Elephas maximus indicus: one gene and its partners. The protein of the gene in region 1 interacts with the protein of each later gene in a biochemical or structural test. Links are inferred from orthologs where the notes say so. Each region holds a gene or a part of one and is shown on either strand. Other genes may lie near its edges.

Evidence for each region.
Region 2: the proteins of SRC (region 1) and MUC1 form a complex in vitro, tested with the Homo sapiens proteins (2 studies listed by BioGRID, with this or other methods). The link is inferred for Elephas maximus indicus from reciprocal best matches to the Homo sapiens genes SRC and MUC1.
Region 3: the proteins of SRC (region 1) and KHDRBS1 form a complex in vitro, tested with the Homo sapiens proteins (8 studies listed by BioGRID, with this or other methods). The link is inferred for Elephas maximus indicus from reciprocal best matches to the Homo sapiens genes SRC and KHDRBS1.
Region 4: of the proteins of SRC (region 1) and SHC1, one has a biochemical effect on the other in vitro, tested with the Homo sapiens proteins (4 studies listed by BioGRID and IntAct, with this or other methods). The link is inferred for Elephas maximus indicus from reciprocal best matches to the Homo sapiens genes SRC and SHC1.

What each region holds. Positions count from the first base shown.
Region 1 is NC_064843.1:32,209,565-32,217,101, forward strand, and holds the start of SRC (proto-oncogene tyrosine-protein kinase Src), read right to left. Parts: upstream 3,009-7,537; 5' UTR 2,634-3,008; intron 1-2,633. UniProt on the Homo sapiens protein: Non-receptor protein tyrosine kinase which is activated following engagement of many different classes of cellular receptors including immune response receptors, integrins and other adhesion receptors, receptor protein tyrosine kinases, G protein-coupled receptors as well as cytokine receptors.
Region 2 is NC_064821.1:193,099,390-193,106,409, reverse strand, and holds the start of MUC1 (mucin-1), read left to right. Parts: upstream 1-4,012; 5' UTR 4,013-4,093; coding exon 4,094-4,151; intron 4,152-4,667; coding exon 4,668-6,178; intron 6,179-6,271; coding exon 6,272-6,324; intron 6,325-6,461; coding exon 6,462-6,595; intron 6,596-6,740; coding exon 6,741-6,862; intron 6,863-6,942; coding exon 6,943-7,020. Other genes in the region: THBS3 (thrombospondin-3), read left to right, coding at 1-73, 1,064-1,203, 1,292-1,350. UniProt on the Homo sapiens protein: The alpha subunit has cell adhesive properties. Can act both as an adhesion and an anti-adhesion protein. May provide a protective layer on epithelial cells against bacterial and enzyme attack.
Region 3 is NC_064821.1:72,957,948-72,965,079, reverse strand, and holds the start of KHDRBS1 (KH domain-containing, RNA-binding, signal transduction-associated protein 1), read right to left. Parts: upstream 3,001-7,132; 5' UTR 2,794-3,000; coding exon 2,415-2,793; intron 1-2,414. UniProt on the Homo sapiens protein: Recruited and tyrosine phosphorylated by several receptor systems, for example the T-cell, leptin and insulin receptors. Once phosphorylated, functions as an adapter protein in signal transduction cascades by binding to SH2 and SH3 domain-containing proteins.
Region 4 is NC_064821.1:192,878,814-192,885,917, reverse strand, and holds the start of SHC1 (SHC-transforming protein 1), read left to right. Parts: upstream 1-4,088; 5' UTR 4,089-4,626; coding exon 4,627-5,121; intron 5,122-5,715; coding exon 5,716-5,786; intron 5,787-6,296; coding exon 6,297-6,360; intron 6,361-6,507; coding exon 6,508-6,627; intron 6,628-6,867; coding exon 6,868-6,921; intron 6,922-7,104. Other genes in the region: CKS1B (cyclin-dependent kinases regulatory subunit 1), read right to left, coding at 804-862. UniProt on the Homo sapiens protein: Signaling adapter that couples activated growth factor receptors to signaling pathways. Participates in a signaling cascade initiated by activated KIT and KITLG/SCF.

The DNA of each region.
Region 1 (7,537 bases):
ACCCCAGACCTCACACTCTGAATCCTTATCGCAATCTGCCATTATATATTTATTTATCTGGCAACTGGTTTGCTACTTGTCTTCCCCTACAGATTCAAATTTCTGGAAGGTCAGGGACTTGATCACCATTCCCCAGCAAGTACCCACCAGGCTGACTACTCCCACAATCTTGGGCAGGGGAGGGCAGGAAAATGGAGGCCTGGGAGGTATCTGAGCAGGAGGGAAGAAAGAGTCCCCTCTCCCCTTCTTTGTTAGGTGACCTACTGCCCTCCCTCAGCTTAGGCACACTACCTCCTGGAATCTCCCTGATGCCTCCCATAACTCCCACTGCTACCCCATCACAGCACTGCTCCACTGAGTTATAAGCTCCTCGTACATAGTAGGTGCTCAATATGGGGTCATGGTGCTTATATCTGGGCAAGCTTGAGAAAACAGGGTCAACTCTTGTGAAAAGGTTAGACAAACAAGCATCCATGATACATGGTTCGGGACCAAGAGATGGGGGGTTTTCCCAGCAGCTACATGTGCTCACCCTGGGCAGAGCTCAGTGGGTCACTGAGCTATCCCCACCCTGACCCCTGGGGTTTGTGGGAGTCAGACCCTCTCCCCCTCAGGTCACAATCAGGGAACAAGCCAAAGAAGATTCTGGGTTGTGTGCTGGGGATAATGCCTACTCCAGGAGGAAGAGGAGAGAGCCAGGGGGCCTTGCTGGGAGAAGTGGGCCTTAAGCTAAGCGTTGAAGAGCCTGAGCAGATGAGCAGCTTATGGCACTCCTGGCAGGGACATCTTCAGGAGCAAAGGCCCAGGATTCACACAGGAGGACCTAGGCAAGCAGTCAGCTGAGAGAGGTGACACACTGTAAATCATTTCTCTGGGTGGAAAGACAGTATCACCAATGCAGGCCCAAAAGGGCCTCGTGGCTTCCAGTCAATCACTCATCAGTATAGTCTTCCAACACTGCTCTGTGCCTGGCCCCATGCTGGGCAACCTCCACTCTCCCATCACTGGAGGGGTGCCCGGCAGCCAGACTGGGTCTCTGAGGTCTGGGTTCTAATTCCAGCTTCAAGTCGTATGGCCTTGGCCAATTATTTCCCCTCTCTGAGTCTGTTTCCCCATCAGTAAACTGGAGAAAAAAAAGAGACTCTACCTCACAGGGGTGAGTGCTCACAGAGGGTACTCAGTTGCCATTATTATTGGCTCATTTTAAAGTTGACAAAACTGTGGCCAGAGGGAGCGTGAGTTGCTTAAGGTCACACAGCTGTTATGTGGCAGGACTGGGCTGGGGCTGTTTCTTTCTCAAGGGGGTTATGAGTAGGTTTTTCAGAAGATTCACCCTCTTCTGGGCACAAGGAGATGAGCCCCACTTGGGCCAGCAACCTTACCTCCCACCTTCATTTCTTAGGCAGTCGTTCTGTAAAGCACTCATTTATTGAGCACCAACTACGTGCCAAGCCCCTACAGGCAGAGGTGCATAGAATCTTCCCCTGAGCATCCCTATTCCTCATACTGTGACTCAGAGGGGCAATCCCTTGGCCCAGGTCACTTAGGGAGACAAGAAGCCCAGGTGTCCTGACTTCCCAATCAGTGCTCCCCCTAGGGGGCAAGAAGAGGGTCAGCAACAGGACCAGCGAGGCCCACCCTCAAGCCAGGTCTGGTCTCAGCTATATTGTTGCTAGACCTGGACTCATCCCAGGTGACCCAGGGACCACTGCCCCTATTGTATAGACAGAATCCCTGAGGCCCAGGAAGTCTTGCCCAGGGCCACACACACACTGTGCCCACTCTCAAGTCCCTGAACTGATACCCCACAGTTGAGTTCTGTTCACTCCAATCCATTCTCCCACCAGCCCAGCAATTCCACTCAGGCCCATCTGCCACTGATGAGGTCCCGGGCTCAGAATGGACAGGCAGTTGCTTGAGGATACACAGCAGGGCGAGTGGCAGCCCCAGCCTGGCCTCAAACCCACCCCCACCCAGGCAGGCAGGTGGACCCGCCAGGAGGTAGGCACCCAAAACTTTTGCCAACTTCCGAGCGGGCAGCGCTGGGGGCTGTGGGCAGCGGGGACCAAGCCCAGCCTGGCCCAGCCCCTTATTCCAGGCCGGCGACACCAGGCCCGACCTAAGGCCCCACGAGGACGAGGAGGTCCTGGCGCCCTGGGCCTAGCGCTCCCTCCTTGGCGCCCCCCAAACCCCCGTTCCAGGCCTTCTGCCCCCCCCCCCCACCCACACCCCACCGCGGGCCAGGGGCGCCAGGCCGGGTAGTCGCGGCCAGAGGCGGCGCCGACTGGCTCAGATTTCATATTTGGCCTAGACCTGGCCTGGGGACTCGGGCCGGCTCGCCTGCATCTCGGGGGGTTCGCGGGGGAAGGGCCAACGAGAGGGGTCCCCGCACGGCCAGGACTCCAGCGCCCCCGCCCAGCCCCCTCCCTCCGCGGCATCACAACAAAAGGCCGCGCTGGGCTTGTCCCGGTGCGCCCTCCGTGCGCTCCGGGATCGCGGCCCGGCCCGGGGCTGGGGGACAGGGGTGGGCAGGAGCCCCGGCGGCCCCGCGATCAGACGCCGGGGTGGTCCAGGCGGGGGCTTTCTCAGGCCGGCCGGGACTAGGGGCCCGCAGAGGGGCGGAGGGCTCTCACCTGAGGCAGCCGGCAGACGGTCGCACCGGCGGGCGGACGCACGGGAGGGCGGACCCCCGGGCCGCCGGACGGCAGGGGTATCGGGCAGACGGCGGCCTGGCCGCTCCGGCTCCCAGGCCGGAATGGATTCCGGGCCGGGAGAGACAGACCGAGAGAGAAAGGGAGGAGAAAGAGGAGGAGGAGGCGGCGGCGGCCCCGGGAGGGGAAGAGGAGGGAGGGAGCGCGCGAGTGGGGAGGAGGGGCCCGGCAGGCCGCCGGGAGGAGGAGGAAGGAGGAAGCGCGCGGGGATACACTCCCTGCCGGTGACCTGGGAGACACCCGTGCGCGGCCCAAGCCAGGGGTCCGGGCAGGGCAGGGGTGGCGTGGACGGGGAGCAGAGGCCCCGCCTCCCACGCTGCCCCGTGAAAGCGCCCCATCCCACGAGGCCCCCATCCCATCTGCTCCCAGGCCAAAATACCCTCCCTAACTCCCCCAAGCCACTCACCAACCCTGTTTACCCCAAATCTGCCTCTCCTGCAATTATTAATAATGATAATAACCTCGACCCTAATGGAGCGCTCACTCCTTACCAGGAGCCATACTAAGTGGCTGAGGTCGACTTTGGGATCTAATCCTGAAAACAACCTGGGCTGGGTGGTCCTGAGATTATCCCTGTTGCACAGATGAGGAAACTGAGGTGCTGAAAAGGCAAGGATCTCCTAACAAGAACCAGTCCTTGGTTCCCAGCCTTAACCCCAGTTTCCCAAAGTGGGAGCTGGGGCAGGTGGGGCAAGCCGGAAGAGCCACTTTTATTTTAATAGATACGTGTTCATTTTATTTATTTATTTTTCTTTTTTGGTTGCATTCTCCACAATGTGAGGGCATGCTCCCCCTTTCCACTCGGTTTTCCCTGTGTCTGCTCTTCCAGCTCCTGTCCCTTCCCACCTTCTTGTCCTGCTTTTGGGCAGGCGTTGCCCATTTGGTCTCCTATATTTGATTGAACTAAGAAGCATGTTCCTCACAGTGTGTTGTTTTTTAATTTATCTGCCTGTCTAATCTTTGTCTGAAAAGTGTGCTCGGGGAGCGGTTTGAGTTCTGAGTTAGTGGAGTGTCTGGGGCCATATTCTCGGGGGTTCCTCCAGTCTCTGTCAGACCAGCAAGTCTGGTCTTTTTTGGTGAATTTGAATTCTGTTTTATATTTTCCTCCGTGATCCCTGTCAAAGTGGTTGCTGGTGGTAGCCAGCCACCATCTAGTTCTTCTGGGCTCAGGCTGGTGGAGTCTGGTTCTTGTGGTCCTTTAATCCTTTGGGCTAGTATTTTCCTTGTATCTTTGGTTTTCTTCAGTCCCCTTTGTTCCACACAGGATGGGACCAATAGATGTATCTCAGATGGCCACTTGCAAGCTTTTAAGATCCCAGATGCTACTCACCAAAATGGGCTATAGAACATTTTCTTGATGAACTACGTTATGTCAATTGATCTAGATGTTCCCTGAGACTGTGGTCCCCAGCCCCCAGCCCCAGCAACTTGGTCCCTCAGAGTGTTTGGATGTGTCTAGGTATGTGTTCATTTTCATGTGCATAAGAAAAAACATTAACTATGGTAGCCCAATCAGACCAGCAAGTTGAGGAGATTACTGCTGGGGGAGGGAAGGGGCGGTTAAAGCTGATATTTAAGTGAAAATTACATTTTCAAGTAACTAAAGAGGCTAAGCACATCTGGGCACAGGGGTTGGAAGTGTAGGAAAGAAAAGGAACATGGAGGAAATACTGCTTTAGGCCACAAAGTCTCCCCCAACCACTATCTGAGCTTACCTGACGCCCTACCACCTCCTAGCCCAGGATCCAGTGCTGCCCTAATGGAGGTAGAGCTTGCCACCTTGGCTCCTCACCAGGCCTCTCTGGATCATAGCACCTAGTGGGTGGGCCTGAATCCAGCTTTAAATACCCCCGCCAGCCTCCACTTTCCTCCTCTGAAAGTTCTCCCATTTCACAGATGGGAAACAAAGGCCCAGCCAGGACAAAGAGGCACCAGGCTTGGACTTCTACCCCCTGGACAGAAGTCTCTGCTAAAAGCACCTGGGAGGGGAATGCTAGCAAAGGCTCCTGAGACTAGAGAGAGAAGGGACTGCACAAAGGCCTACAGCAAGTCAGAGGCAAAGCAGTACCGTAAGCCAACATGGGCTGGCAAAATGGCTGCACTTGTTTGCAAGGCTGGCTTAAAGATTAACCTGGGCTCCTGGCTGGAGGAGCAGGTTTCTCTCCCTGGTTCACTCTTCAGACATTTCTGAAGGCCTTCACTGGCCACACTGAGCTAGGGATGGGATTCATCCAGTGGTGTCCCACAGCTGACTCCTATTTGCCCCCAAGAGCTGATTGTGCACCTCTTCTCAACTTTGTGTTCACTGATGTTACATTGGTATCTTGATATCAGCCATGGTGAAAGTATTACATCCTGGAAATTGGCAAACGCTACAAATCAAGGCTTTTTTTTTTTTCCTTTCGGAGAGGTGGTTATTAAATATTTATCAGCACATCATTTAATACTCAGCTTAGTGCCTGTAAACCATTCATCATCATTAATAGACGAAAACCATGTATTAATCTCTGACTGTATACACAGCCCCAGGCCAGGCCTGGACACCAGTGAGGACAATTTCCCAACCCAAAGCTCCCAGCAGATGACAGATGATACTGATGTCAGCACTGCTGAAAGGGTGAGTATGGGTGGCACAGAGTCCTTGGTCTCTGGAAACCGCCTCTTCTCCTCCTCCCCACTGCGTTCTGGGTCAAAGCCACAACCCAGGGCAGCATGGGGAGTGTGGAGTGAGGCCCCGCTGCACGCAACTGGTGGTAGAACCGTACACCAGAGGCTTCCCATGACGTGGGGTCAAGGGCCCCGCCCACATCTCACCCAGGGCCCTGGGGGCTCTGGCTCAATGACAGCCTATCTACTGCACCCACCCCCAGGCCAGCTCATCCTTGGAGCAGCCACTGGGAGGCTGGACCCATCACAGGCACTCAGTGGGAAATTCCAGACCAGCCCTGTCATTCCCCAAATGGTTTACTATGAGTCCTCTGTCTGAAGCCACTGGACTCAGGACTGTGGGATGGATTAGGGGAGGAGGGAGCCTGAAGCTATGTAATAAGTTTGGTGCCTCCCACAGTACTGCGTCTTAGAGTTTACATAGTGATGTTCCATTCATCGGAGCTTCAGCCCAATCTGGGCCCTCCGAGCCTGGGTCCCCTTCCTCTTCTGCCAAGTCTACCTCCTTGCTGATTCACCACGGAGCTCATTCTTGCCTTGAGGCCTCTGCACTTGCTGCTCCCTGTGCCTGGAATGCTCCCCACCCTCTAAGGCCTGGCTAAGCCTTAGCCTTCCTCCATTCAGTCAGTTTTCCTGAGCACATACTATGTGCCAGGGTCTGTGCTAGGTGCTAGGGAGACAGCAGTGAACAAACCAGGCCAGACCTGTGCCTTGGAGGAGCTCACAGCCTGGAGGAACAGGGACATGTGACCATGTGCCAGGCACAGTGGTTGGGGAGGGGGACCTGGAGAAGGAGCTTCCATGCCAGCATGTATCTTGTGGGGTGGCTGGTGGAAGAAGGAGGTCAGCAATGGAGGGCTCAAAAGTCGGAGGAGACAGCTGCCAGGTGAAAAATGGCACAGAGGGAGCAGCTTGAGCAAAGACCCAGAGGCCAAAAACACCGCTATGTGTGGAACTACAAGCAGGGCAGTGCTGATGGAGCACAAGATGGTGGGTGGGCTGGCAGTGGGGAGAAGTGGGGCAGGAAGGGGGGCGCTGGGGTGAACCCTGAGCGTCCTCAAGTGCCAGGCTTGACTCCTGTCCTAGAGGCAATGGGGAGCCATGGAGAGTTGTTAGCAGACGAGAGATCACTGTGGTCACTACTGGGTGGAAGATAGATTAAGGCAGGGAGGCAGTTAGGAGGCCTAAAACCCAGGAGGTTGGAGAAGCATAACCCTATGAGAGTCAGAAGGAACAGGTTGCACATTCTCCCTCAGGCCAGCCCCCGGGAGGGGTGGTCAGTCTCCAGCCTCACTGCCCACCTGCCCACAGGCGTGCACCTCAGCATGCACCTCTGCGGAGAAGCCTGAGTGAAGACATCCAAATGATGGCACTAACCACTGAGCAGCCCTGCAGAATCACAAACCTCCTCAGCTGCACCTTCTGGGGCTTTACGGCCAGTACAGGGAAGGGAAACCTGAGGCTCAAGCACTTCTCTGCCCAGCCTAGAGTCTGGAGACAAAATAGAGGACATTACAGGCAGAAAAGACCTGAACATCTGAAAATGGGGCAAAAGCCCAAGCCCCCCAGACTGTTGTGAAAGCCAGTTGCCAAGAAAACTCAGTCACTCATCACATCACCCCGTCAGGCCACAGTAGAGGCCCAAAGAGGGACAGACACTCTCCCAAAGTTACACAAAGAGTTACTGGTGGGCAGAGCCATCCCCCAGCGCAGGCCACATCCCAGAATGTTTGTGAGAAAAGATGAAAGGAGTCGGGCCCTTGATCTGCCTGGCAGGAGGGTAGAGGGCAAGCGGAAATCTGAAGCCAAAGCTGTGACCCCACAGACAAGAAGGGTTAGAAACCTTCAACCTAGCAGAGGGAGACAGCCTGCCACAGGAGGGCTTGAAAGAATAATGGTGAAGATAATAATCACAGCAACAACAACAACAAAAAAAAACAGCTGCCATTGAGTCGATCCTGACTCATAGCAACCCTATAGGACAGAGTAGGATCGCCCCACAGGGTTTCCAAGGAGCGCCTGGTGGACTCGAACTGCCATCCTTTGGGTAAGCAGCCACAGCATTTAACCACTACGCCATCATAGCAATACCTCACAGTTATTAAGTGCGGAGTTCCCCGAGCAAGTACCCTGTTCTGGGGGCTCTGTGTATTTCGCGT
Region 2 (7,020 bases), on another chromosome or scaffold:
GAAATGTGGGCTGGCGTGACAAGACCTCCTACCGCTGGCAGCTGCTGCACCGGCCTCAAGTTGGCTACATCCGGTGAGGGGAGGGGCTGAGCTCTCCTAGGGGACCCCAGGCCTGGTCTTTCTTTCCCCTTTAGCTGAGACTCACCGGTGACTCCTCTTTCCTCAATTCCTTGGTACCACGGGCCAGGACTGGGCTACTTCTATCATCCCTCTCACCACAGACATGCCACCTTGGCTCTGCTTTCCTCCTACCATCAGGCAGCAGGGGCTCTGGCTGGTCAGGCTGCAGGGGCTCTGGCTGGTGCTGCCAAGGACTTATGTGCAATGTTGGGCAAGTCCCTCCTCCTCTGGGCCCCATTTCCCCTCAGTAAAATAAGGGTGTTAGGCTAGATGGCCTGAATGATTATCTGGGATTCTCCAAACCCCAAACATGCCTCATTAAGTCTGACCTGGAAGGGTTCATCATTTACAGAAGAACAAACCCAGGCCCAGACTTCACAGCTCTGAGTAGCAACAGCTGAGGCCTCTCAATTCAGCACTTTGTCCATAACTTTACATTTTCCTCAGACAAATGCCCCCACTTGGTGGGGAGCTGGGGCTGCTAACTGCAGAAAGCCACTGACAAGCAAAGGAGGGGAAATGGGTCTGACTGGAGGTGGACTTTCTAAGGCCAAGAACCCAGAGTCCAGGGATCTGGGTTAGTTCCCCTTTAAGGTGCCTGGGGCTGTGGGGGGCCAGAGCAGGGGATAAGGGAGGGGTGGACTAGAGCCTGGGAAGCGGGTGACTTCACCCCCCAGCCCATTGTGCTCATCGTCATGGCAACCCAATCCTCGCTTGAAATGCGGCTGGTGCTTTGAGATGCAAAGGGGGCTGGACAAAGAGCCAGGGGCCCCAGGCCTGAGAAAAGCACCCCCTTCCCTCCCCTTTCCTTTCTCCCTCCCCCTCCCTCCCTTCTCTCTGCAGCCTGGTGAATTCAAGGGGGACTGGGGGTGAGCAGGACCAGGGCATGGTGGCACAGTGACCACTGGCATCCCAGCACCAATGGACCCCCTTTCCTGGACAGGGTGAAGCTTTATGAGGGTCCCCAGCTAGTGGCAGATTCTGGGGTGATCATTGACACATCCATGCGAGGGGGGCGTCTTGGTGTATTCTGCTTCTCCCAAGAAAACATCATTTGGTCCAATCTCCAGTATCGATGCAATGGTGAGGCACTAGACCAAGATCCACCTGACCCCTCATGCCCTTGTGAGAGAGCCACATCTTCTGACCTTACTCATTTCCCCTTCCTCAGACACAGTGCCAGAGGACTTTGAGCCATTCCGGAGGCAGCTGCTCCAGGAAAGGGTGTGAGGAGGTGGCCACCGGATTCAGAATCCTGATTTTAGACCCTTTGGCCTCGGGGTCCATCCTGGAGACCCTAGGGTCTAATCTGCAGCCCCTCAGCCAAACACAGACCCTCCTTTGGCACCCACCAGGAGTTCAGCCCCATAGGGGTTGGGGATGGGACATTTTCAAGGGGTATTTCTCAGGCACTCACCCCAGAAAAGGTAACACCCCAGGAAAGATAACAGCACATTGCCATAAAGTTCCAGTTGTTTTCTAACCTAGTGCAATTGCTTATTTTAGGGATTTGCCGGGATAGGTCGGGGAGCAGGAAGGAACCTGAAGGGGAGAAGGGAAGAAGCTTGGTAGGACAAAAGTTAAGAGATCTAGGGGAAATTTGGCAGAGTTTGGGGCGCAGGTGGGGAAGGCGCCGGATGGGGTTAGGTGAAGGATGAGATGCTGCTCGGAGGATGCCTACAGCCCTCCCCACCCTACTTACTCACGGCGGCAGCGGCAACACTCCAGTCTGTCTTAGATAGCCGGGGTCGAAGCCAGGAGAGCGGAAGCTGCCCCGCTGAGGTAAGGGGGAGGCCGGGGGGCCGGGGGGGCCGGAGGCCGGGACGAGTGCAATATTGGCGGGGGAAAGAACAACACTGCACCGCGTCCCGTCCCTCCCGCCCGCCCGGGGCCCGGGATCCCGCTCCCCACCGTCTGAAGCCGGACCGGCCTGAGAAACGGGGGTGGGCTGGGAGTTGGGTTCCCCTTGAAGGCCAGAGAGATTTGGAGCCTGGAGTAGGGTAAAAGGAACGGGAAAGGGGATGAAAAAAAGACCACGAGACCCCGGAAGGCCGCTTTCTGATGCCCGGGCGTTGCGCGCGCTTGCTCTTTAAATACTCAGACTGCGCGGCGCAGACTTGTCGCCATGGTAACGCGTGTCCCAGCAACCGAACTGAATGGCTGTTGCCTGGCAACGGCGGGGTTGGCGCTTGGGGCCGCCCACCTAGATCCTCGTGCTGTCTGTAGCCGGCGGTGGGGGGGCGTCCCCGCCTCTCCGGCCCGGGCGCGCTGACGTCAGCCGCTCCCCCTGCCCCGCACCCGCCCCCGGGTCTCGCGGCCGCACAAAGCGGCGCAAACCAGGCCGAGCAGCGTGCGGGCGGCAACGGTGGTCCCGTGCTTACTGGCCCGGCTTCCCTTCAATCCTGCGCCGCACCGAGGTGTTTTTGAAGTATTATTTTTCAATCTGTACTCCTTGGGGATAAAAATGTCTTCCTAATACAGACGTAACTACTTTTATCAGCCTTAGACCGCAACTCGGGACCACCGAACGGGGTCTGATACCCTGAGCTCCACGTGCCGCAGTGGCTTGATACCTCTCTGCCCCCCCCCAAATTATTTCTGCCTTTCAAAATACCTCTCGGTCCTCCCAAATTACGCACCCTCACATACAACTCTGCCCCCCACCAAGTGCCTGCCTTCCCCAAATACCAATCTAGTCTCCAAGTTAGTTCTGTCCCCCAAAATGCCTTCACATACCATTCCGTCGCCCCACCTACTCTTCGCTTCAAATACGTAACTGCCCCTACATATTTCTGTCCCATTCCCCCTCCCACATTGCGATGTCGTCTCCCAAGTTACTCGGTGCCCCTTTCACAAACCTCAAGACCCCACCCACTTACCGCCATTTCTTCCAGACACTGCCCCACGCGCCCCAGAGTCCCCTTCCTGAAGCGCCCAGCCCCTCCATCGCACAGCACTTTCCTTCTCTGCCCCTGGCATTGACCCTTCCGTCGGGGCCCTGCCTTCTGCAGCTCTCTCCAAGCCCCTCTCAGGCAGCACAGCCCAACCTCCTCTCCCCGGACCGGGCCAGTCTCTCAGCCCGCCCGGGACAGCCCCGCGAGGCTCGCGTGACCACTAGAGGGCAGGAGAGCGGGGCCAGCAATGCTGGCCGTCCGCGCTGGCAGGTGGAAGGTGGAAGGCTGGGAAGGAAAGACCCTAGGGTTCAGCGGAGCCCAGGTTTCGTCCTTCTTTACGTGGAAATTTCTTTCCCCGCCCCCTGTTACGGAGAAAGCCAAGCAGAGAGCCAGGATGCTGGAAAGTCTGGCCGGGGCGGGGACTACAGGTTTCGGGGTAAAACCGCGTGTGGAACAGGACAGGACAGGGAGCGGTTAGAGGGGTGGGGCTATTCCGGGAAGTGGTAGGGGGGAGGGAGTCCACAACTAGTAGTCAGTCCACTAATTATTAAACCCTTTTTATTTTTTTTCTCAGTTCTCAGAGTGGACCCAGTAAGAGTGGGGATATGAGAGTGGAGGGTTTAGGGGTGGGCTTCTGAGCCTTGCTGTCTAGGACCTTGACTTAGCCCATTTTCTCTGTTTCCTTCTCTCACCCTAGCTGTTGTTCTGGACCCAAAACTGGAGCCATGGGGACCCAGGTCCCAGACTCCCTCCTTCCCATCTCCTGCGGCTAGGGAGTGGTTGGCAAAAGGGGGAGGCCAGTTGGAGAGCAAACAAGTTGTCCAGAGGGTTGAGTGATTGGAGCCAGTGTACCTGAGGGGCCAGGAGTAGTTGGGGAGGAGGAGGAAGAGGTAAGAGGTAGGAAAAGGGGGAGGAGGTGGTAGTTTGTTACCTGTCACCTGCTCCTGCTGGGCCTAGGCGGGGCGGGGGACCGGTATAAAGCAGCAGGCAGGCACCTGTGCCCGCTCCACCTCACCTCACACACAAGCAGTGCCTGCCTGAGTCTGCTCTGCCCCCTCCCCAGCCAGTTCACCACCACCATGACACCAGTCATCCAGTCCCATTTCTTCCTCCTGCTGTTACTCCCAGTGCTTACAGGTGAGGGGTACAAGGTGGGGAGGGGGGTTGTCTTGATCATGCCATTTCCTGATGTTTCTGTGGGCTTTGCTTCCTGGCAGATAGTACCATGAGAGGCAGGAGTTGTAGACAGGGGTGGCCCAGTCTGAACCAGAATGAAGGGGAGAAGACGAGGCTAGGCTGAAAAGAGGCGGCCCCCAGGAAAGCCGGTGTCAGGCACAGGTGAATGTCCTGGAGAGAAGTCTTGGGGGGAAGGGAAGTCAGGAGAGGTAAGTCATGGGAGTGGAGAAATGCACAAGCTGGGAGCAAAGGGGCACTGAAGGGAGAGGGAGGCTGCTGGCAGGAAGAGCCAACCCAGGGGCTGCCTGGCCAGCGGCCCACTCCCCAAATCCTCCTGGCATTACTTCTCCAGTTGCCAGAGGTTGTATTTTCTTCTTGCTCTGATTTGTCCTCCAATTCCAACCCTGTGGCCTCAATTTCTTACACCTGCCACCACCCCCACTTCCGTAACGGTTCTTACAATCTCTGGCTCCACAGCTCTCGAACAGAGCGGAAGTCCAACCCACTCTGGCACCTCAACCCAGACCACCAGCCCTGCCTCCGGCTCTATTACCACTTCAGTTCACCATGGCACCTCCACCCTGGTCACCAGCCCTGCCTCAGGCTCAACCACTCCAGCCCTCAGCAGCACCTCCACCTCGACCACCAGCCGTGTCTCCAGCTCAGCCATCCCTCCAGTCAGCAATGTCACCTCTGCCACAGCCACCAGCCCTGCCTCTGGCTCTATTACCACTTCAGTTCACCATGGCACCTCCACCCTGGTCGCCAGCACTGCCTCAGGCTCAACCACTCCAGCCCTCAGCAGCACCTCCACCTCGGCCACCAGCCGTGTCTCCAGCTCAGCCATCCCTCCAGTCAGCAATGTCACCTCTGCCACAGCCACCAGCCCTGCCTCCAGCTCTATTACCACTTCAGTTCACCATGGCACCTCCACCCTGGTCACCAGCACTGCCTCAGGCTCAACCACTCCAGCCCTCAGCAGCACCTCCACCTCGGCCACCAGCCGTGTCTCCAGCTCAGCCATCCCTCCAGTCAGCAATGTCACCTCTGCCACAGCCACCAGCCCTGCCTCCGGCTCTATTACCACTTCAGTTCACCATGGCACCTCCACCCTGGTCACCAGCACTGCCTCAGGCTCAACCACTCCAGCCCTCAGCAGCACCTCCACCTCGGCCACCAGCCGTGTCTCCAGCTCAGCCATCCCTCCAGTCAGCAATATCACCTCTGCCACAGCCACCAGCCCTGCCTTAGGCTCTGTTGCTACTTCAGTTCACCATGGCACCTCCACCCTGGTCACCAGCCCTGCCTCAGGCTCAATCACTCCAGCCCTCAGTAGTACCTCCATCTCAGCCACCAGCCGTGTCTCCAGCTCAGCCATCCCTCCAGTCAGCAATGTCACCTCCGCCACAGCCACCAGCCCTGCCTCCGGCTCTATTACCACTTCAGTTCACCATGGCACCTCCACCCTGGTCACCAGCCCTGCCTCAGGCTCAACCACTCCAGCCCTCAGCAGCGCCTCCACCTCGGCCACCAGCCGTGTCTCCAGCTCAGCCATCCCTCCAGTCAGCAATGTCACCTCTGTCACAGCCACCAGCCCTGCCTCAGGCTCTATTGCTACTTCAGTTCACCATGGCACCTCCACCCTGGTCACCAGCCCTGCCTCAGGCTCAACTACCACTCCAGTTCAACATGGCACTTCCACCAAGGATATGACCCCAGGTGGCAAGAGTACTCAACCCCCAGTTTCCAGCCAGCACTCTGATATTCCCACCACCCCTACCAGCCAGAGCTCCAGAACTAATGCCAGTAGCACTACCCGTAGCATAGTTTCTCCTACCTCCTCCAATCATAGCACTTCTTCCCAGTTATCTATTAGGGTCTCCTTTTTCTTCCTCTCTTTTCGCATTTTGAACCTTCAGTTTAACTCGTCCCTGGAAGACCCCAGCACGAACTACTACCAAGAGCTGCAGAGAAACATTTCTAATTTGGTGAGTATTTGCCTTTCCTCCACCATGCTGCCTTGAAGCGGCCAGTACTCAAACCTCTAGCATCAAGCCTAAGTCCTTTCCCACTCACCTCAGTTTTCACAGATCTATGGAAAGGATTATCTGGGCCTCTCTAATATCAAGTTCAGGTATAGTGCTGGGCAGTGGACTCCGTGTGGGAGAGGGTGGGTGGATGTTGGCACGTCTGTGGGGATGGACTGGTGCATTCGTGGTTGTGGTTGGGAAGCATGTGCTGAGGCAGAGTTGCCCATCTCCCTGTGACCAGTCCAGGATCTGTCATGGTGGAATCAACTCTCACCTTCCGAGAGGGTACCACCAATGCTGACAACGTGGAGATGCAGCTTGGTCAGCATGCAACAGAAGCAGCCAGATATAACCTGATCATTTCAAGAATCAGTGGTGAGGCCACTTCCCCAGCTGCAGCCCAGCGTCACACCAGGGGCCCTCTCCTCCAGCACCTGGGTTCTGACTCTTCCCTTCTGAGCTGGTGAGGGAAGGGTTGCCCCCTTTGGGAGACTGCCCTGACCACTACTTTTCTTTCTAGCGCATGAGGTGCCTTTCTCTTCCTCTGCCCCACCTGGGTCTGGGGTACCAGGCTGGGGCATTGCCCTACTGGTGCTGGTCTGTGTCCTGGTTGCACTGGCCATCACCTATCTCATTGCCCTGGTAAGTGCTGTTTCTGGCCCTGACCGAGTTGCCCTGCCAGAGGGAGTCCCATGGTCCACCAAAACACCCTCTCTCCCCAGGCTGTGTGTCAGTGCCGCCAAAAGAGCTGCGGGCAGCTGGACATCTTTCCAACCCGGGATGCCTACCACCCTATGAGC
Region 3 (7,132 bases), on another chromosome or scaffold:
TAAGTACAAATTGTAGCAGGTGGGGGGAAGGGAGGTATAAGTGTGTGGACCTAGAGTTCTAGACTCAGACTGAGTTCAAATTCTGGCTATGTTGCTTACTAACTTTGCTACCTTCAGCAAATTATTTCGTCTGTGTACCCCGGTTTCCTAATAGGTGAAAATAAGGGTAAGAGTAACTTCCTTACAGTGTTACCACGAAAATTAAATATTTAATGTAAAGCACTCAGACCAGTGCCTGGCACCTAATTGTTATAGCTACATTTTTCTTACATGTGTCCTCATCATATACTACTACGTACTATTCCATGTTCTCAGAATCTGTCTTTTCCAGATCATTTAGAAATACCCTAAAAGCTGCACCCAACATAGATCAAGACTTATCCATGCTAAGAAGTATCCCAATTCTGTTCTTTCACTGAGCCAGTAGTACCTCAATCCCATCTCTCTAGTTAAAATTTGAGTTTGGTTAAAAAAAAAAAAAGGGGGGGGGGAGACATCAAAAAAGCCAAAGTTAAAAAATTAAAAGGCACTCTTTTGGTAGAAGTTAAGCAATGCAGGCAGGGAGGGTGAAAATTATAACTAACTTTTGAGGATCAATAGTTTTTGATGGTTACCCTAAGAAACCACCTTTTGCTTAAGAGATGACCACCACACTGGATGCCTGATGTTCGGTTACAAAGGCAAAAAATATCCTGAGTTTCATACCTTGTTGGGTACCGTGGATTTACAGCTAGAAGACAGCTGAGGTGACAAATTATTACTTAATGATTATAGGTCAAAGAGAGCTGTGATAGTGCTTTTACACATCATTTAACCTTCATAACTCATCATTCCCACTCTACAGATGAGATTACTGAGGTTCAGTTTCCCAAAGCCATGTAACTAGTTAAGGATCAGAATTTTAAACCAAAGCCAACACCTTGAAGTTCTAAAATTTGTTACTTTCTTTTCCTCATACATGTTATCTGGACTGATTATTTGAAGATTTGGGTAAATAAAAATTAGAATATCAGGTCAAGCTTTACCAATCAGTCTGACATTCCTAAATCTGCATGTACATTTTTTCAGATTCAATCAGACATATTTGGTGTTTGCTATATGCAAGGGATTGTGAAAAATTTAAAGATGAAAAGCAATTACTGCCCTCAAAGAACCTGCCAGAAGAACACAATAAACATTAATGTTTCAAACAATGTGGATGGGTGGACAGGGCAGCAAAACAGTGAGTTAAAAAAATGTAAGCAGTTTATCAAAAAGTTTTTATTCTTGACCCCCACGTACTTTAGTTTACGGTGTTGAAAACTAGACTCCTTACCAATGCTGGAAGATAGAGAACAAAAGGGAGGGAAACGATATTTTCATAATGATCTGCCTTTTATATCAATCTGATCAGAGTCCAACTACTCATTTAGTGTTAAAGGCTGTGAATTTCTACTTAGGAAAATTTACGTATCATAAGAAATACTTACTAAAATGTCTTAACGAGAAGCAAGGCAAATCTGAGCGACTAGATGCTTGGCCAGGGCCGATCAGGAAAGGAATGCCAGTCTACAGACAGAGAACAAAGACTACCATTCCTGATCTCTAGTTCACAACTGAAACCAATAGAAAAAACCAAAAAGATCGAGCCTTTCACGTACAAGCATCGCGAAACTTCTCTCAATCTCATTTGGAAACGGCAAGCAAACCATCCTGGAGTTCCTTCCCTCTCTCTCTCATCTCATTTCACTGTCTCTAGGGTTATTTTTCCTTCTTGAATGATGAAGGTGAACGCACATCATAAAATAAAGGGGGCCAACCTTTTGGCTTGTCGCAATTAATCATTTTATCAGCCGAAGTCGGAAATCTCATTCGGAAAACCTCAAGCTCGGATTCCCACAGGTCGCTCCTACCTGGGGGAAACTTAAGCTCCAGTTACCGCTAAGTCCGACCGGACCCCACAGTAGACGGCGCGCTGGACAGGGCACTCCAGCCTCACCTCGGCCCTCCCTCCCACGGTCCCTCTCCAACCGGGCTGTGTCTTCATCTCTTACACCACCCACCACCTGCAATCGAAAAGGCTTTCTTTCCCTTTGGGAGAACAGGGAAATAAACATTCATTTCTGGAAGAATCTGAGCACTCAGAGCGCGGGGCAGCTGCAAGAGGTGGGAAAGGGAAGGGTTGGAAGGGTGACGGAGAGCTCAGCACCATCCATCAAGATCTCTGCGCTAAGAGATCGCCAAGCCGCCTTCGGGCCTCCACTGCAGCCTAGAAATTCTCCCTCGCACCCTGCGAAAGAATGAGGCTTTGGAAACCAGGTTCCCGAAGATAAGAGTAGGGGAGTTCACGAATGCCTCGGTCCCGAGGGGGCGGGAAGCGAGAGGAACAAAGCCGCTGCCACCCACGCCCCCGGGTGGCCGGGCGGCCCGCTCACCTGCCGTCAGCAACTGCATGGCGTGAGTGAAGGACGGGTCCAGCGAGTCCTTCTCGGCCATAAGCTCGGGCAGGTACTTGTTCTCTGGCTCCATTTTAACGGAGGCAGTGGCTGAGGGGGGCAGCAGCGGGGTCGGCGCTGGACCTACTGTCGCATCGGGACCGGTGGCCGAGGGCGGCAGCAGCGGTGGCGGCTGCGTGGCGGGCGAGGCCCGGGCGCCCCCCCGGGATCCTCCTCCGCCTCCCCGGGACCGGTGAGGCAGCGGGGGCTGCCGAGACGGTGTCTGACGCACTGAGGGATGGGCACCTGAAGGGTCCATGGAGCCACTGCGGCCCGAGGACCGGCTCATGCGCGCGGCGGGATCGTCCCGGCGCTGCATTTGGGAGGACGTGCGGTCAACGGATCGAGGAAGAGACGCGGCAGCTGCAGAGGCCCGAGCGGCGGTTGGCGAAGGTGGGAGAGCCTGGGCGATCGCGACCGAAGCCGACCCGAGCGACCCAGCAAAAGAGAGCACCGGAAATGAGGCGGCGCGCGTGCGCAGCCAGCCACCGGCACCGCCCTTGGGTTTATCCGCGGAGAACAAAGTCCCTAGTGGAGTCACAGCGCCTGCGCACCACCTAGGCGCCCGAGGAAGTCGCCTCCCCACTCCTCATTTCCCTCTGAGCCCGCTAGGCCTAAGGTTTGTGCGCGTGCGCGGGTGGCTCCGGCTTCGTTCGTTTTCTTTTCCACGTGACTCGGCGCTAGCGGGACACGTGTCTCCTCCCCCTTCTGGCCGAGTGCGCGGAGGGGGCAGGGACTGTGGAATGTCTTTGTCTGCGCGGGGGCCCGCGGAGTGTGGGGCGGGAGAGCTGTTACTCGCGGGGCCACGCCCCCTTCAACGGCTGAGCTGTGGGGCCAGGTTGCGTTCAATGGGCTGGGGGTGGGGGTGGGGGTGGGGGTATGGGGTGAAGTGGGGAGTCGTTGAAGTGTGGAAACGAAAGGAGAACCGAGTAGCGCACCGGGAAGGAGCGAGAATTGAGGCCGCTGGGCAGGAAAGAGGAGGGAGAGAGGCTGCCTAAGTGTGGAGAGGGGGAGAGAAAGGGAGTAGGAGAAAGGGTGAAGAGGCAAAGACTAATGGAGAGTTTGACGTAGGGATGAGGAGTGGAGATGGGGAAGGGAAGCTTGGAGGGATAAATTGAGGAAGGACGGCTTAGTGGGGAGACTAAATGCTGTTGGGAGAATTTGAACTAAGAGGGAAGATTCAGATCGGAGACCTGAAATCTCGCAATGGCACGCACAAAGGGAACCAGAGAAGTCTTATCCCATGGCTTGCAATACAGTAGGCTCTTAAACGTTAACCTTTGTTGGTCAGAGAAGTCTTCGTAAAGGAAGGAGTGTTTTAACACTTATTTACATATCGGTCTGCTTTCACTCAGTCTGTTTCTTCCGCAAAAAATGGGGCTAGAGCTTAATTCGTGGCGGTTGCATCATGTGGGGTGTCTCTTCTTCGGATGAGTGACTTCGGATGAGCGTTAGTCCTTCTGCCTCTGTTGGGCCCTCCATGATGGATTATTCCAGACTTGCTCAGAGAGACAGACCCTGCTTTGAAGACCAGGGTACACACCGCACAGTCTCCGTGCGCGTTCGCCTCTTGCTGGGGCTGGTATATGCAAAGTGGAGCCCAGGTCACTACTTTCCAATGAACATTCCCATAAAAGGTTAGTGCCTTCTCTAACCTTTCCTTCTCTCCACAGATTTTGACTTCCCCCATTCAAAGCATTCACTACCATCCCTTTTCTTTCTTGATCACTTCCCCCAATGAGCCCACACTGTTCAAAAGCATTTCTGGAAATTTTCTTTTGGGTGCCTTGAAACTACTGAATTTTGAAATCAGTGTAATTTGACATTATTAAATGTAATCATTTTTGAAACTTACAAGTCTTCAACTAGGGCACATAAGGGCCTGGCTACCTTTTTCTGGTGGGGGTGGGAAGAAATTACCTACAGAAATCATTACAAAACACAGATATCTCCATAAATTGTCTTGCCTGTCTTACTCCCTCAGTGCAACCACAGTGCCCCCCCCCCCCACCCTTATCTCCAGTGTTTGGTGCGGCACTTTACTTTGAGGTCACATAAGAAGTGGCTCTTGTCCTTAGTTTATAGTCCAGTAGGAGAATAAAAGAATGTTTTGAATAATTGTAATGCAGAATGCAATATGACAAAGTGTCAAAAGATAAGGGAAAATTAAGGGTTACCAGAGATCAAAGCAGGGGAAGAGAGATGTCAGCCTGGGAAGAATGAGTTCCAGGCAAAGGGGAGCGTGAATAAACGAGCAGAGATGAGAACGTCAGAAACGCGTCAGAAACGCATTCACGGAATGGGAGTAATCCATTTGTGGACTGTGAAGGAATAGGTGGGTTGGGTGGAGAAAGAGACTGCATGGAGGGAGGAAAGGGGGCAGAGAGGATTTATAGCTCCCTTGCAATTCATTTCTGCCGCCATCCCTGAAAATCCTGCTTGGGTGGTGGTGTTACAAATGACTGAAGTGTCCTTGCTCTGTAGTGAGATGCCCAGATGGAGGTACCTTGAGCTGAGGCTAATAAAACTTTGATAAAGAAGTGTCTGAGAAGGAGTTGGGTAGTGGTGCCTATGGGTTTTCTAGACTAGGATCAACAGACTTTTTGGGTGGCAGGCAAACCTTTGCTTACTTTCTCTGAGGGTGGGTTGAGGGAAGCCTGTGTAACCTCCACGAATGGGGGATCCAGCAGGCTTCAACCACCTCCTCTGTTGTTGCAGCCAGTTCCCAGGAGAGAAAGGGCCCTGGGCAGGAGAATTTCTCTTCCAAGAGTGTAGTTAACCTGTTCAGTCTTAAACATCTTTAATCAGTTGTCATTCAGTCCTTTCCTACTCATGGGGGCCCCATGTGTGTCAGGGTAGAACTGTGCTCCGTAGGGTTTTCAATGGCTAATTTTTTGGAAGTACATCACTTGGTGCCAAATATGTGGAGGGAGGGGAGAGGGGACACAGAAATGGGGACTCAACATTGAGTAAGAGAGAGTCCTTGCCCTCCAGGAGCTCTTCATTTAGTGAAGACAAATACGTAAGCCAAGAGTTACCACATAGTGTGAAAAAAGTTATAATAGAAGAACATACAGACGGTTGTGGGAATGCACAGGAAGGAGTGACCAACTGTGGCAGGTGGTGAGTTAGGGAAGCTGGGACTTGGCTGGCTGCCAGGTGGAGAGGGAGCAGGGCATTTAAACGTTGGGCGTTCAGCAAAGCTTGGTCTTGTGCCTGTACTGTCGCCTCCGTGCCCACAGCTCTGGAATTTAGATCTTCAGCCCAAACTTCTAAGTTCTAAACCCAGAGGCTGTTTGTATACCTGACATCCACATTTGGATGTCTCACTGTCCTTTCAAACTCAACATGTTTTTACCATGGTACTAGCAGAGCAGCTTTAGGGCCCAAATGACTTAACGTAGCTCAAAGCTTGGGGAAGCTCCTTCTTCTTGAACACAGGCCTGCTCCAGCACCTTGAGGGCATCCAAAAAAAAAAAAACAAACCCATTGCCATCAAGTCAATTCTGACCCTGTAGGACAGAGCAGAACTGCCCCATAGGGTTTCCAAGGAGCACCTGGTAGATTCAAACTTCTGAGCTTTTGTTTAGCAGCCTAACACTTAACCACTATACCACTAGGGTTTCCTTGAGAGCATCAGGGCTAGAAAAACATAAGGAGGCACTCACTTTCCAGACTTGCTTGCCTCACTCTAGCCCTGGTGTTGCCCTTAGCACCCTCACAGTGGGCACCTTTGCTAGGGGCGGTGGGCGGGAGCAGAAGGGAGCAGAGCAGGGCTGATGTGCCCGCAGACTGCCTTGTCTATCAGGCACATGTGAAAAGTCCCTTGAAATGTCCCAGAAATACCTGTAGGGACTTTGCGGGGGCAAGAACAGAATATCTTCATGATTGATGTTCCTGTGGCTTTGTTTGAATCCACAGTCCAGAGAGGCCTGCTTGATGTTTGAACTATAATGATCTTTTTGGCCTGCTTCCTCAAACAGCAGGTGAGCCACTTTAAGGCAGGCACCATTTCTGTTTATGTATAAACAGAGACAGGTACAGAGAGGGCATTCAGTAAATGCCTTCAAAAAAACTCCCATTCTCCACCCTGCCTTCACTGCCAACCTGTGTTCACTATCTTAGGGAACAACACCCTCAACTCACTGCCCAAGGCAGAAATCTGGGAGTCGTCCTTAACTTCTACCTGCTGTCTCATAGCTCTACCCGCATCGTATCAATTCATTACTAAGTATTATTGTTTTTACCTCATAAATATCACAACTCCCGTCCACTTTTCTCTATCTCCACTGCCTCTACTTCCTTCTGAAGTGCCATCATGTCTCACCTGAACTCCTACCACCTCTGACCTGGTCTCCATACTTCCACTCCTGTGCCTCTTCCATCCATTCCCCACCTAGAAGCTAGCATATTTAAAAGCGCAGATCTAATCATCTTTCTTCCCACCCTCCATTCTGTCACAAACACACACACATACACACCTGGTTAAACCTTTTCAGTGGCTTCCTCTTGCCCTTAGATAAAGGCTAGAATCCTTTATCTGACCCAGCCCTGCTTGCATGGCTTGGCCCCACCTGGCTTTCTTGCTTCATCTCAGGCTATTCCCCTCCTTAGTTCCTGTGCTTGGCAACCCTGGCCTTTTTCAGTTCCTCAGACAA
Region 4 (7,104 bases), on another chromosome or scaffold:
AGAGCTGTTTTCTCCATCCTTCCTTGAACCTCATCTCAGGCAGTTTCCTCCAAGAAGCTCTCTCAGATCTTTCCCCTTAGCAGGTTTAATGTGCTCCCATCACACCCTGTAACATCTCCACCATAGCATTTATCACCTTTCTGGAGTCTGTTAGTATCTTTAAGACTTTTCGTTGAAAGCTGAGACCATGTCTTATTCTTGCACCTTGGCAGAACACCTGAAAACTATAAGCCCTCCATAATTGATTCATGAATAGATGCCCTTCAAATATTTGAAGCCATCTATCAGATCCATCGTAAGTTTTTTCTCAGTGTTCCTGGCCAGTTTTTTTCCCACTCCTGTTCCTAGCAGCGCCCTTCCTAAAATAAGCCGGACAGCCACGCCCGCAGCACTCGGTCTCTCCTCGCACGGAGGACACGAGGAAAATTCCAGCTTTGCCTTTGCCACCTTCTCCCGGTAGGCTCTAGGGTCCTATGGTATTCTTATGATAGTAATCGCAAGGCAAGTTCAACTTGCCAGCAGCTGCGAGAAAGATTCAGAAATCCGCACGGGTGAAGGCAGTCAGCACTCTAACCACGCCCATCTATGCTCAACAGAGGGCTTATTCCAAATTTTCAACCAATTTGTCTTTTTCAGAGAGCGTCCCACCCCTCGCGCATGCTCTCTACGCCTCACCCGGCTCAAACCCACCCCGTACATCTCTCGCGCATGCGCCAATTCTGTCGCCTCAGTCCTCATTACTAACTCGTGCCCTCACTTGACAAGGTTCACAACTTCGTTAAGGCCCCCGCGCCGGCACTAACCGGTACTCGAACTCCTCGTCATCGTATTTGTCCGAGTAGTAGATTTGTTTGTGCGACATAATCGCTCAGCCTGAGGGACTTCAGACCCGCGCCGCCAACCTCCAAACAACTCCCAGCAGCACGCGCTCCCACCCCCTTTGGCCTCGCTTTCAAACACACCGCCCACACTTCTTATTGGTCCCTTTTGTTCAAGGCGGGACAGCTCCACCTTCAAGCCTCCGATTGGCTTAAATTTACTACTACTAGGGTCCTTATTGGAGGGTAGGTCCTACGTTTCTCAAGAACGAGTTTGGGTCAAAAATAGGCCTCTTATTGGCTACCACTGCTCCTGTGCGCGTTCTCGCGCTACCATTGGCTGACTCGAGAAAGTGGGACGGGTGAAGGAGGGACGGTGAGGTAGAGGGTCAGGGGTTAGTGAGACCGGAAGTGAGAGCAATAAAGTTTCTCCAGGGAGGCCGGGTCCGGGGAGAAAGTTGGAGAGGGAACCTAAGGAGGCAGTGGCGTAATCCGGAACCAAACAGGCCCGCGGTGCGGTGCGGAGACTCCATGCAGCCCTGGTGAGTCTTGACGTTTTTTCTGTTTAGGTGATCCACATCTCCACCCCGGAACCCCTCTCCCGGGACCCCACTTCCGGTCTTCATTGTTAAGTCCCGCCCCTTGCGACCCCCTCCGCGGAAGTTCCACCTCCCAGCTCCAGGGGGCTCCCTGAACCGTGATTTTTTTTTTTATTTATTGTTCCTGACGCTACCCAGTCGTCCATCTTTCCTGGAAGTCCCACCCCTAGACATGCTTCCAAACCCTACTACGAGAAACCCTTCGTTAATGCTTCCAAGTCGCCGAAGCTCCGCCTTCTTGCGACGGTTTTCCGCTAACTCCTGTCTGTCAAGAAGCCTGTCCCCCAAAAGGGCCAAGCCAACCCTCGCGCTTCAAAGAACTATTCGAGAATCCGTTGAAGCCACGCCTCTGTAGAAGCCCCGCCCCTCTAGAAGCCCCGCCCTTTCCTTAATCTAAGTCTGATCGTCCAGAAGCCTCTCCTCATAGAAATTTCCCTTGCTCGCGTCCTAGGGGCCACGCCCCCGCTGGGGCTTTATCCTTGTCATCACCTCTGAAGTTTTGTCTTCAATTCTAGAAGTCTCACGTGCTTACACTTCCCGGTCCGTCTTTCAGGTCCTTGGACTCAGTTCTCCTGCGCTCTCATGCTCCACCGGGTGGGAAGTCACAGTTCCCATCTCTGGCCCTGAAAAGTGGGAGAATAGAGGCACCGTTTTCCTTTCCCTTACCCCCCTTCCTAGAGTGGACCGGCTTGAAGTGGGCTGGACTTGGGGTTTGGCACGAGACTGGTAGAGAGACTTGCTCATAGATTCCCAGCCCTATTCCCTCCATTGCCAGCCCACTTCCCAGGACCGAGTCCACCCCAGAAACAGCTGCAAGTCGTACCTGTACCGCAGGAGTTGGGTAGGGCCGTGGATTCGTTAGTGTGTGGCATGTGCTTGTGACAGGAGCCAAAATTTTCTATCACCAGACAGAACGGTGGTTTGGAGCAGGGATGGGGAGCAGTGTCCTATTTTGCGGTTTGATTTTTTTCTAAGGGACTCCTCAGTCTTCCCTTCCCCCAAACCAGAGTTCTTGCCTGGGCATTCCTCCTGGCTCCGCTTGCCCAGCCTTCCCTACTGGAAACATTCCTGAGGCTTTCGCCATTTCCTGCTACTTCCCGCTCCTCTTGCCTCCTCCCTGCTGGGCTGAGAAGCCAGGCACAGCTCCTTCCCCACACCCAATCACCGGGACTCCCAGTAGGCAATCTCCTTTCTCCCTATGCAAATTTAGAGTTAAACTTCCTCTTTCTTTTCTTCCAACTGCCCATACCTGTTGGTCACTCCCTGCCTCTGGATACTGCAGACTCCACAGAACGGCCATCTCTAAAGATTAGGGTTAAGTGCTATGGCTGCTAACCAAAAGGTCAGCAGTTAGAATCCACCAGGCGCTCCCTGGAAGCTCTATGGGGCAGTTCTGCTCTGTCCTATAGGGTTGCTATGAGTTGGAATTGACTCGACGGCAACGGGTTTGGTGTGTGTTTGTGTTTTGGGGGGGTGTGAGGCTGTGGCAGAATCCTTTCCTCATTCTCCGTTTGCCTGAGAGCTGAGGCCTTAGGAAATGAAGTGATAGAATTCCTTTTCAGGAGTGGTGGATGGAGTGATGAGCTCTTCTGGGATGAAGACTAAGGGGAGGTGAAAGCGTTTAGCACAATATATAACACGTTTTAAGTGCTGGTACTGTTATCACTGTAATCATACGATTATTCCCTTCTTTTTATTCTCTGAAGTAAATTGAAAAAAAAATAGGGTAATTCTGAGGTGATCCTGGGGGTATGTGTATCTTTTTGTTTTTGGCCACTTTCTAACTTCCTCTGTGATCCCCTCAAGCACAGCTGTGACAGGAAGCTGTGGGTGGAAGGGATGGGCTCGGGATTGTTCCCTGTGTCCGGCCTCAGCCCATCTTCTCCTGGCATCCCTTTCTCCTGTATTTATTAACATAGATCTGTCTTCTGTTCTCTCTATCCCTTTGTAGCTTGGAGGCCCCACTTCTCTTGGAGAGCTGCCACACTCTCCCACCTCCCCCAGCCAGACTCCTTCCCTGGTGTTAGGGACACTGTGCTCCATGGTGGACACCTGGGCATTCCCAGTCACCACTGCAAGAGGAAGAGTATGAGTATACCTGGCAGGACTGGGGAGTTGACTTTAGAGTTAGTACCCAGGCCATCCGCTTCTCAGCTTTGACAGCTTGCTTTGCTAACTTGTGCCTGTGGAAAAGCAGCCAGAACAGTGCCTGGCTGTGGGCTGCTGCTCTTTGCCATGGTGGGTGCCTTGCATAGGGAAGAAGCCGCAGCCAACCTGTCCTCTTGCTCCAGCTCTTGCCTTGTGGCTCCCTGATGCACCACCGAGGTTGGACTTCCTCCTTACTTTACCAGCTTCGCCCTTCGTCTTGGCCCCTCTCTACATCCACTGGGACCACTTCCTTCCCTTCCCCATCTCCCTACCTCCAGTCCACAGCTGTTGTGGCAGAGGATGCTAATGGCTCCGGCTCCCTAGGTCCACAGCCCCACTGTGTGTTAGTGAAGGGCGAGGTGGCCTGGGCTGGAAGATGGGGAAATTTGAGTGTTCGACCAGGACAGGAAAGAAAGTGCTGAGCTCAGGGATCCCCTCCCTTTTCCACCCCCAGCTGTCTCTGTTTCCTCCCTCATTGCTCCCCACCCCCCCCCCCGCCCACCTCTCCCTTTCCTGGTTTCCTGCTTCCCCCCTGGCCTGCCCATGTCCGGTTTGGACTGATCCAGACCTCCTCTTATCTCCCTCCTTTCCTTCCCTCTATCCTTCCCTTCAACGCCCACCTTACTCCTCCCCAGATAGCTGGTTGGTTGTTTGGAGGTGGGGGAAGAGGGACGTCGCTGTCCCTAACCCAGCAAGGGTTCTAGGTTGGGTTGGCAGTGGGGGATCAGCCCCTCAGAGCCTGTGAGTCAGCACTGTCCTTGGGATTGGTCTCTCCCCTCAGCTCTCCGCCCCTGAGGAGGAGCTAGGCAGCTCTGGGTCCAGCCTGTTCTCCTCTCGCCAGAGAAGAGGCTCCATGCTGGGCGGAGATGGGCCCTGAAACTGTTTGGGGCTGAGCTGGGGGAGCTGAAGCTACCTGTCTCTCTCCCTCCTCAGGACTCCTGAGACCCCTGGGCTATAGAGTTCCGACCAGGCTAAGGGCCTGGGGATGCCTCCTGCCTGGCCCCCTTGCCCTGACTGGCAGGGGGGCCGGGCTGGGCAGCAGCACCCCTCTCACCCCAGCCATGGATCTCCTTCCCCCCAAGCCCAAGTACAACCCACTTCGGAATGAGTCTCTGTCATCGCTGGAGGAGGGGGCTTCAGGGTCCACGCCCCCGGAGGAGCTGCCTTCCCCATCAGCCTCATCCTTAGGGCCCATCCTGCCACCTCTGCCTGGGGACGACAGTCCCACTACCCTGTGCTCCTTCTTCCCCCGGATGAGCAACCTGAAACTGGCCAACCCAGTTGGGGGGCGACCAGGGCCAAGAGGGGAGCCAGGAAGGGCAGCCGAGGATGGGGAGGGGATCGCAGGGGCAGCCATGCTGGACTCAGGCCCCCTGCACCTCCTCCAGGACATGAACAAGCTGAGTGGAGGCGGCGGGCGCAGGACTCGGGTGGAAGGGGGCCAGCTGGGGGGCGAGGAGTGGACCCGCCACGGGAGCTTTGTCAATAAGCCCACGCGGGGCTGGCTGCATCCCAACGAGAAAGTCATGGGACCCGGGGTTTCCTACTTGGTTCGGGTGAGTGAACATCCTCCCTTCCACTCCTTCCCAGACCCTCTTCCAGTTCCTCTGCTCACTCCAACTTTGCTGCTATCTCTTTCCCTAACAACCCCCTCCTTGAGGACTGTGTTCCTGTGTTCCATTTCCTTTCTTAAGCCTTTCTCCAATTCTGTAGCCCCTTCCCTTCCAGTTTTGCCTGGGCCCCCTTCCTTCTTGACTCCCCCACCCCCCACCCTGCCATGCTTAGTACAATGCCCAGCACATGGTAGGCCCTTAGGAAGTGTTGGAATGTGTTACTTCTTGATTCTCCCCTCCAGTCTCCTCCCCCTTTTTGGAGATGTCACTAGATTGTCTCCACCCCACCCAGTGCCTGTCACTCCCCTCCAAATTCTCTTCCTCATGCCTGAGGTCTACCTAGCTTCCCTTTCTTTCTATCCTCATTCCCCTGTTGTCTTGCACGTTGTGGGTTGTAGCCATGGTCAGTGGGCAGAACTTGCACATCTTTACTTCCCTCAGGGACCATGTAGGGAGAAGTCCTAGGGTCCTTTGTGAAGGGGTTGATGGGAGGCAGCTGACTCGTTATTCCCCTCTCCCTTCTGTCCTTCCCCTCAGTACATGGGCTGTGTGGAGGTGCTGCAGTCCATGCGTGCCCTGGACTTCAACACCCGGACTCAGGTCACCAGGTCAGTGGGGGTGGCGGCGGATTGTGGGTGCCCTGGGAAAGGGGAGAAGGGAAGTGGATCACGTGGTTGTGGTCTAGAGGTGGCTTATTTTGGGTGGTAAAGGGGATTGAGAGAAGGGAGCAAGTTGTATGAATGAGAAGGGAAACTGTGGTCCTGACCCTCCTTACCTGTCCAGCCCTGGGAGTTGTGTGGGAGGTGGCAGAAGCAGCTAGCAGGTGGAGCTTGAGTGGAAAATGGGGGCAGATTGAAAGTTGCTGCTGCCTTTGGGAAGGGACCAGGACATTTAGTGGCCGGAAGGAGGTGGGGCTATACCCATTGAGGCCCTAACCCAATCAGCCAGGAAGCGGCCTCTCAGTGTCATCAAATATTAAAGGCCCTTAATTCAATCTGCCACAACAAAGAGCCTGGAGTGCCCCTGGAGTCTGGCCTGGCCTTCCCCTCCCCCAGCCCTGTGGTAGCCCCAGCAGAGTGGGAGGCAGGCTCTGGGTCTGAGTACCCTTCTTTCCCCAGGGAGGCCATCAGTCTGGTGTGTGAGGCTGTGCCGGGTGCTAAGGGGGCAACAAGGAGGAGAAAGGTACCTGGGGCTGATGGGGCTACGGATGCTGCTGGGAGATGTGGAGGGGCAGGAGGAAGGCAGATGGGCATGTGGGGAGAAAGCCAAAAGGCAGAAGTGTGGTTTCCTGTTGTTGGGAACCCTCAGCTTCTGAATCCCCTTCCCTAGCCCTGTAGCCGTCCACTCAGCTCCATCCTGGGGAGGAGTAACCTGAAATTTGCTGGAATGCCAATCACTCTCACAGTCTCCACCAGCAGCCTTAACCTCATGGCAGCTGACTGCAAACAGGTTGGTATGGTGAGGCAGGGGGACCAGAAACACTGATGGGGGGCTAAACGGAAATCTGGTTATGAAGGCAAAAAACAAGGAGAGAGGGCAGCAGGACAGTAGGGATGAGGAAATTATGAGAACAATGGGGTATGAAGCCAGGAGGGTGGGTGGGCTAGGGTTGGGGGCACCCAGGTGGACCCTGGGGCTGTCTGACACATGTCATTCCCTTCCTTCTCCATCCCCTCCCCTAACCCTCAGATCATTGCCAACCACCACATGCAATCCATCTCGTTTGCATCCGGCGGAGACCCGGTGAGTTGAGCAGACAGCAAAGGTGGTGGGAGAAGAATAAGGGGCTAGGGATTGGGAAGACACTGGCCAGAGATGTGAGGATGGTAGTACTGAGGGGATATCTGAAAAGGACTGGGTCTTAGGGGTCAGGAGTGAGGTGGGGGTATAAAACTTCCCCAACTGTCCTCTTTTGACTGTCCACCC